2 linked regions of the Arabidopsis thaliana genome follow. The protein of the gene in region 1 interacts with the protein of each later gene in a pairwise test. Each region holds a gene or a part of one and is shown in the gene's direction. Other genes may lie near its edges.

Region 1 (3,943 bases):
AATCAAAAAGACGTGTAGATTAGCGGAAGATACGGCGATGATTTTGCTTCTATGTTTTTCGCTTCTCTTAATTAATAAACTATTTTTGGGGTTATAAAGTCTCAGTCCATTAATTTCACCTTACTGCCAGCTAACAATCCCGATGAATTACTCATAAATATTGTAATACAACAATTACTCATAAATATTGTAATACAACACTTTAATTTACGTTCATTCATTTTTTTTATCACTCCAAAAAGATAATGATGTATTTGATATGCGATCCATATTTTTCCCCGACGTCAAGATTTTTTCTATGCCATTTTTTAAAATGAGTTCTTATTATTTACATTGTTGATCATGTGGTTTTACAGTGCCACATTAGTTGCTAAAATTATATACAATACAAATAACTTATATAATTTTTCCTCACCAGTATTAGTGGTCTATGTTTGGAGTATTTTTTATATAACATATATGGTACCGACTCGATTCAATTGATTAAATACCATAAAAGATAATTCTGTCTATAGACAATCTTTTACAATATTCTTTTTTTAAAAAAAAAAATACCTTAATTTGGGTTCATTTGAGTTTAACAAATTAAAAGTGAAAAAGAACTAATGAAAACTCAGTATTCTTACTACAATTTTCAATAAATATCGAAATTTATAATTAATTAATACTTAATTTACATTTTTCATATTTATATTTATCCATTCAGTTAATTGAAAATTAAAAATAAAATAATAATGTGAATATGTTTTATTGGTTAAATAAAAATGTAGTAGATTTTACGATATATTAAACATACAACTTTTTTTTGGTTAAGAACTATTGTATAGAGTAAGGTTTCAAATAATAACAATGGAACAAATTTTTTGTCCAAAAAAAAAAAAAATGGAACAAATTTAACTGTGAGAAAATAGTGGGATAGAAGCAAATAATGGAACCAGTGCAGTTAGTACGAAATGAAAGAATATGTGGAAGTATCATAAATATGTAAAATTTAAAAGTTAGAATACCAAAATTTTAGCTATCTTTTTAAAGAGGATCTAAAAAGTATCAGAAAACATGTAAGGTTGTGTTTATTAGAACTATTCATCTAGTAGAAAAGTGATTGTCATTATCTTCAAGTATCACATTAAAAAAAAAAAAAAAAATGTTGTGTAGTGTCTGTCGATGAACATCGGAGTAAAATGGATGTCATTATCTTGAAAGAACTAAGAAATATGAGTGTCCATAGGCAGAGTAACAAGTTGTTACTAACAACATTACAAGGAGACAATGACTACAAAAAAACAAAACAAATACAAGCATTTTTAGTAACCATACGTTTTAGGCATGCTAGTCCAATATTCCCAGTTAAGGAAATGTACAAAAAATAACATATGTCTAGCTAGAATTCTATGCATTCATAACTTCGAAGCTTCAAACTGATAAGAGTTTAAAAAATGACGTAAAATATTGAATTTGATCTAATGCCAGCTTCTTTTTCTAATCAGTTTAATCAAACTCAATAAATTAAAAAAAAATCTTAAGAATACGTCACTAGCTTAAATAAAATATTAGACATAAACCACTTATATAAACCTTTATCATAACATAACTACACAAACACATTGTCTCTCTTTGCTTACCAATAGACAACCTTAAAGCCACTTTTCGTCAACAAGACACACAAAAACCCTAAACAAAAAATCACTTATCAAACTTATTAGTGTCTAATGGCACTCGTTAATGACCATCCCAACGAGACCAATTACTTGTCAAAACAAAATTCCTCCTCTTCCGAAGATCTCTCCTCGCCGGGACTGGATCAGCCAGATGCAGCTTATGCCGGTGGAGGAGGAGGAGGAGGCTCGGCTTCGAGCAGTAGCACGATGAATTCAGATCATCAACAACATCAGGGGTTTGTATTTTACCCATCCGGTGAAGATCATCACAACTCTTTGATGGATTTCAACGGATCATCATTTCTTAACTTTGATCATCACGAGAGCTTTCCTCCTCCAGCCATAAGCTGTGGTGGTAGTAGCGGTGGGGGCGGCTTCTCCTTCTTGGAGGGCAACAACATGAGCTACGGCTTCACAAACTGGAATCATCAACATCATATGGATATTATTAGCCCTAGATCCACCGAAACTCCCCAAGGCCAGAAAGACTGGTTATATTCTGATTCAACTGTTGTAACCACTGGTTCTAGAAACGAGTCTCTTTCGCCTAAATCCGCTGGAAACAAACGTTCTCACACGGTAATTACAAACAACAAAGTCTTGGTGAATATTTTTCATATAAGATGTCAATGAAAGATCGTTGATATATACTACTATCAATTTGAATTATGGATATATAGGGAGAGAGCACTCAACCGTCGAAGAAACTGAGTAGCGGTGTGACCGGAAAGACCAAGCCTAAGCCAACAACTTCACCTAAAGATCCACAAAGCCTAGCAGCCAAGGTTTGCTTTCTTGACATTAATTTACATTCATTAAAATAAAACTCAATCTCTCAACACATATTTACATATGTTTTATTTTGTTCAGAATCGAAGAGAAAGGATAAGTGAACGTCTCAAGATATTGCAAGAACTTGTTCCCAATGGCACCAAGGTACACATCCATATAACCATTTATGACAGATTTATTATATTACTTATTCTCATGATAATAATATTTGTTATGTTTCACAGGTTGATTTGGTGACAATGCTTGAAAAGGCTATTAGTTATGTCAAGTTCCTTCAAGTACAAGTTAAGGTATATTAGTTATGACAAACATCCCTCAAATTAATTTTCAGGATTGATTTAATTACCATATTTATCGAATTATTACGTAACACGTATTGATATAATCTATTGTTTGTTAGGTATTAGCGACCGATGAGTTTTGGCCGGCTCAAGGAGGAAAAGCTCCTGACATTTCTCAAGTTAAAGACGCCATTGATGCCATTCTCTCCTCATCACAACGAGACAGGAATTCGAATCTGATCACCAATTAATGAAGGGTTTTATCATTAATAAATCAGTTTATCAAACATTAATTACGTACGTTGTAATAATATCGGGGGAAACAATGATTCTCTCGATTATAAATCCCACGTAAATTTTGAAATATGATCCAAAGAGAAGACAATCGAGATTATGTAACGTTAGATTATGTGAAAATCGAGAAGTTCTTAATGCATCTATAACGAAGAGAAGACAAGAGACATTGAATTCACCGATGATCAGTCTGATATGGGTCCACACGGGGATGGAATCTTTAACTAGTAAATAAGTGTTAAAAACATAAATATGTTTTTCAATTTCTTTTTCTGTTTTAATTGTATTTTGTGTGTTTTAGTCTACGGAATACAGATCTTTTATTTAAACTCCAAGAAATGAGTAATAAAATTCTTCACTTTTGTTTTTTCCTTGAGGTTTCAGTTTCAGAGAATCTATCTTTTTGTCATCTTTCTTTGTCTATTTGAGCTTGGCTTTATTAAAGCTAGCTCTTGAGCGACATGCTTATTTATTTAAAATTCGTCAAAAGTTTGTCACACATATTATAGGGTCTCTATATAGATTGCAATGCATAGTATTTTTTGAAAAAAAAGATAAACTATGAATTTCTATTACCAAAATAGACCATTTTTTTATTTATAATTGCTCTAGGACGACGAGTTCTTCTGTGCAAAACATTTTCACATTCTCTGTATGAATGATCAAAACATAATGTTAACCTAGTTTGCTTGGCTAAAACATTTTATGATATAATTTTGGTACACTAAAATATGTATTTTCGAAAATATAAACATTTTTATATGTAGGTAAATAAGTATTCAACCAAAAGTTGAGAAATCTTAAAATCAGTGATGAATAGCATATATTTTTTTTATCAATTAATTGTAGGATAACCATACACTGATACACATCAGCACCTTTATCGTATAAAATTATTTCTCAAATTAAGTATGAGAT
Region 2 (4,061 bases), on another chromosome or scaffold:
TTTTTTGAAATAAGTGAGAGAGAATTCATCAAAAAAATAAAAATTGAATAGAACTCCCCATTGTTGATATTATGGTTCTCTTCTTGTTGTTGTTGATTTAGACTATAATTTGTAACGCTATACCTAATATATGTGTTGCTCCCCATTGTTGTCCTTAAGGAGATGCTATATACATATAGATACTAGCCATGCAAGGATCATTAGAAAATGAATGTGATTAAATTACAAATAGACCCTTCGAACAATGAGAATCTCATGGTTATTGTTATAATGACTAAAGATTACATAAACATAAATAACACAAACTAAACATTTGTAACAACATCAAATATCCTAACCTCCGTACTATGCACGAATTTAACGTGTGAAAAATCGGGCCGGAGAACAAACTGTTTTAAAATAAACCCAAAAATTGAAATATGAAACGTATAATATAATCTTAAATGTAGTATGAAATCTCCAAGAAAATACTAGTAATATTCAATCATATGAAGAAAAGCCATGCAACGGCTGCGAGAACAGAGCCCGAGACAGAGATCACAAGCGATGAGGCTCCTGCCGCAGGAGCCGAAGCTTCAGGGCCGTCACTGGCGCCAGTTCCGTCATCGGAAGATGGAGACATTTCTGGAGTCGGAGCTGGCGGAGAGGAGGCGGTAGGTGCGTCAGAGGAGCTGGTAGGACCTTCGGAAGAATCACCGGAGCTTGAGTCAGGGCTTGAAGCCGGAGTTTTGGCTGATGATGACTTTGGAGATGGGGAAGATGGGGAAGGGCTTGGAGTTCCGGTGGAATTTTTCTTGGCCATGGTTGGAGCAGCTGTAGGCGGTGAGGTTGGGGCGGAGGCCGTGGGTGATTTTGGGGATGCTGCGGCGGCGGGAGAAGGAGAGGTAGAGTTCTTTTCGCCGTTGGCTTTCGGTGCGTTTGCCGGTGTTGGAGGATCGGCGGCCAAGACGGCGGTGATGGCCAAGGCAGCCACGGCGAGAGATAGGAGTTTAAGTGTCATTGTCATTTTGTGGTGAATGTGAATTGCTTTTGTGGTGATTAATTATGTATTTTTGTGGTTTATGATTAGTGCTAAAAAAGATTAAAAAGAAGAAAAGAGTTATTTTTGAGAGATTAAGGAAGAGGTAAAATTTAATTTATAGGGAATTCTACAGATTTGACCAAAGTTTTGGTTGACCGGGTCCATCGGAACTTGTCTTAAAATTTTATTGGTTTGATCTTTTGTTAGTAAAAAGAGAACATGTGGTAATGATAATTCCCAACTTTCAAGAAACAATTGAGAACACGTGACTATTGAGATTGATTTTGTGGTAACTAAATGAGCACTGTTTCAACAAAAGTTAATTTTAATTTAAGCTATACAAAATACTAAGAATTAAAACTTGATTAACGTACCAGTTAGTCAATAACTCAATATTAAGTGGAAGTTCAATTGTTCAATACAAATTCATACACGTAACTGAAGAAGCACATTTAAAAGTCAACGAAACATTTACATTTCGTAAACTAAAAATAAATAAATCTACTGCAATCTTGTGAATGAGTCTAATTAGAGATGAGAAAGTAAACTGAGCCCAAAATAAATAAGGCCCATTTAAAATGTAAGGCCCATGATAATACTCATAAGCTTTGTAATCCACGACGCACGTGTTCCATAATGGCTAACATAAAAACGGCAAGCAGTCTACTTTTTTGTCGTTATCACTTTTTAACCCTTTTCGGCTTCTATCCGTCGATTCAAATCGGCGGCAGTTCCCAGCGACATTAATCTCCGGCGAGACAGTTTACTCGGTGAGTTTCGCGGCTACATAGTTTTTTTGAACTTCCTTGAATTGTTCATTATTTCGGGATATAAACGGAATTTGCTTTTCCCCGATCGTCGTATCACTGTAGAGAAACCGATACTTGATTGGTTCTTCGCTATTTTTCTCTATTTTGATATGCAATTCGATTTCACACTCTCAAATTCATAATCCTAGTTTGTATAGTACTCTATCTCGTGAAATTGTCTGCTTTTATCGATTAAGGCGTTGTTGCGTACATTGCAGTGTTTATTGAAGCTATGCCTAAAAGAACAGCAGAAGCGTGTCCATCATCTGAAATCCAAAGAAGCAGAGGAGATACTTTTGGTAGTTACAGATCTCAAGTAGCTGAGCTTTTGTCTCTAGGTGAGAGGATCTCACATCATGATCAACAAGAAGCCAATGAGAGGCATTCTGAGAGTGTTATAGGAGCTGGGATGTCAAATGTTGAGAAAGATAATTTGAATGTTTTGTTAAGGCAGTGTGTGAGGAATCTAAGTCCAGAAGTTGATGAGGTACTTCAGAGTTCTACTTCTAATATCGTATGATGAAAGAGTACTCAATATTATTGCAATTCGTTTGCAGATGCAGGAATGTGTACGCTCTCTGTATCTAATTTCTCAGCTAGGGAACAAATGTCAGTCATCGTCGCCGAGCGATTTTGTTCCTGAAGAAACCGGAGGAGCGAGAGTTCGTCTTTTACTTATATGTTCTTAATCCTCTTGCTTGAAACATACTTGTATATCTTTCATTTTGTTTTCTCAAAATTCCTTCAGGAAGATGATATTCAACTACTTCTGAGGTCTGACTCTGATATGGTCAAGAACATAACGTCACAGTATTCAAATGTTCTGCTGTCCAAAGTAATGTTCCACATTAGTATATCTAGCTTGCAGAAAGATCAATCATCTAATATAGCTAACTTCTGCATATGTTTTGTTTTGAAAGCTGGACAATATGCAGCAGGAACTCGAGAGACTTCTTGACGATGTGGTGGCGACTTGCAGGTATAGTGTGGTCTAATTGATCTCTAGTTTGTGCCATTATATAATCAGTTAAAGAGTTTTCCTTATGAGAACATTCTTTGTTGGTGGTTACTTATGTGTTAGTTGTTAACTCTTTTAAAACAGACCTATGACTCGTGGTGAAATTCGGGAGCTTCAGAAATCGATCAAGGAGCTGCCTGAGAGGAATCTCAACCGCGTCGCTGAAATAGTAGGAAATCATTGCATAGCATCTGGCAGAGATTTCAACGATAAGGTTATCGTCAACCTTGATCAGGCGGTAAGACACAATCCGTAGTTAATTGATTCTCTGGTTCCGATGAGTATTAATGGAAAACTAACAGCATTTCAACCAAACTGTGTTTTCTTCAGGACAAGGTCATGTTATGGAGATTGCATTTCTATGTAGGAGCAGTCAAGAGGCCCAGAAGCTCGCTCCCTAGCTAACTTTGGCTGTATATATATGGACTGGGATGTTGAGATGGTGTGATGGGCTAAACCGGTTTAATATATTTCCTACTTTTTTTGTTTTCCTGATTAGTCCGGTTAAGCCGTGTAGTAGTTGGTCTTACATGGACGGTTAACAAATGAAAATCGGTTCTGATTTGGTAAGACTTTGTCCTTCGTCCCATGAAGATTTCTCTAACAAAAAATCATTGACCACATCATGACATGAATCCAAAGAAAACACATAGTTTGCTAATGTGTCTGTTAGACGATTAATCTCTTTAGATAGTGTGTATCAATTTCATTATTTTTGTTTTAATCGTCTGTCATTGTATCAGTTTCGGTTAGAAACTAAGATAGGGAAAATATTTCTCGTCCTATAAGATGTTTTACCTAAGCACAAAAAATCATTAAAACGGTATTCAAGACTTTTAAATAAATCAAACAAAAACAAATTTTGATTTCAAAGTAAAACGAAAAAAAAAATCGTAACATGAAAAAAAAAGATATTTTTATTTTATTTTATTTGGAAATAAAATCTGAATAATTATTTTATGACAGTCAATAAAAAGCTATGAAATATTTCTAGAGCTTTACTAATGGGGGAAGTTTGAACTAGCTGCTTGATATTAATATAATAATTTGATTATCAACAAAAAAGTTATATTTAAGAATTAAGATTGATATATGTTAAACTTTTGGTAATTTTGTTCTAAAACCAATATTCTTTGGTTGACTTGACTATTTTATTAATATATTAGTATAAATTGAGAATGTGAATCTCCTTTCCAAACTATTCTTATAGGTT

What was found. The genes of interacting proteins can lie anywhere in the genome.
Region 2: the proteins of RHD6 (region 1) and AT3G27420 interact in a two-hybrid assay, tested with the Arabidopsis thaliana proteins (one large-scale study listed by BioGRID).

What each region holds. Positions count from the first base shown.
Region 1 is NC_003070.9:24,793,617-24,797,559, forward strand, and holds RHD6 (ROOT HAIR DEFECTIVE6), read left to right. Parts: upstream 1-1,597; 5' UTR 1,598-1,709; coding exon 1,710-2,237; intron 2,238-2,338; coding exon 2,339-2,443; intron 2,444-2,528; coding exon 2,529-2,594; intron 2,595-2,674; coding exon 2,675-2,740; intron 2,741-2,850; coding exon 2,851-2,982; 3' UTR 2,983-3,399; downstream 3,400-3,943. UniProt on the Arabidopsis thaliana protein: Transcription factor that is specifically required for the development of root hairs. Acts with RSL1 to positively regulate root hair development. Acts downstream of genes that regulate epidermal pattern formation, such as GL2.
Region 2 is NC_003074.8:10,146,887-10,150,947, forward strand, and holds AT3G27420 (bromodomain testis-specific protein), read left to right. Parts: upstream 1-1,668; 5' UTR 1,669-1,791; intron 1,792-2,048; 5' UTR 2,049-2,062; coding exon 2,063-2,317; intron 2,318-2,387; coding exon 2,388-2,492; intron 2,493-2,578; coding exon 2,579-2,665; intron 2,666-2,750; coding exon 2,751-2,809; intron 2,810-2,932; coding exon 2,933-3,086; intron 3,087-3,178; coding exon 3,179-3,253; 3' UTR 3,254-3,534; downstream 3,535-4,061. Other genes in the region: AT3G27416 (uncharacterized protein), read right to left, coding at 485-1,006; AT3G27415 (uncharacterized protein), read left to right, coding at 489-1,016.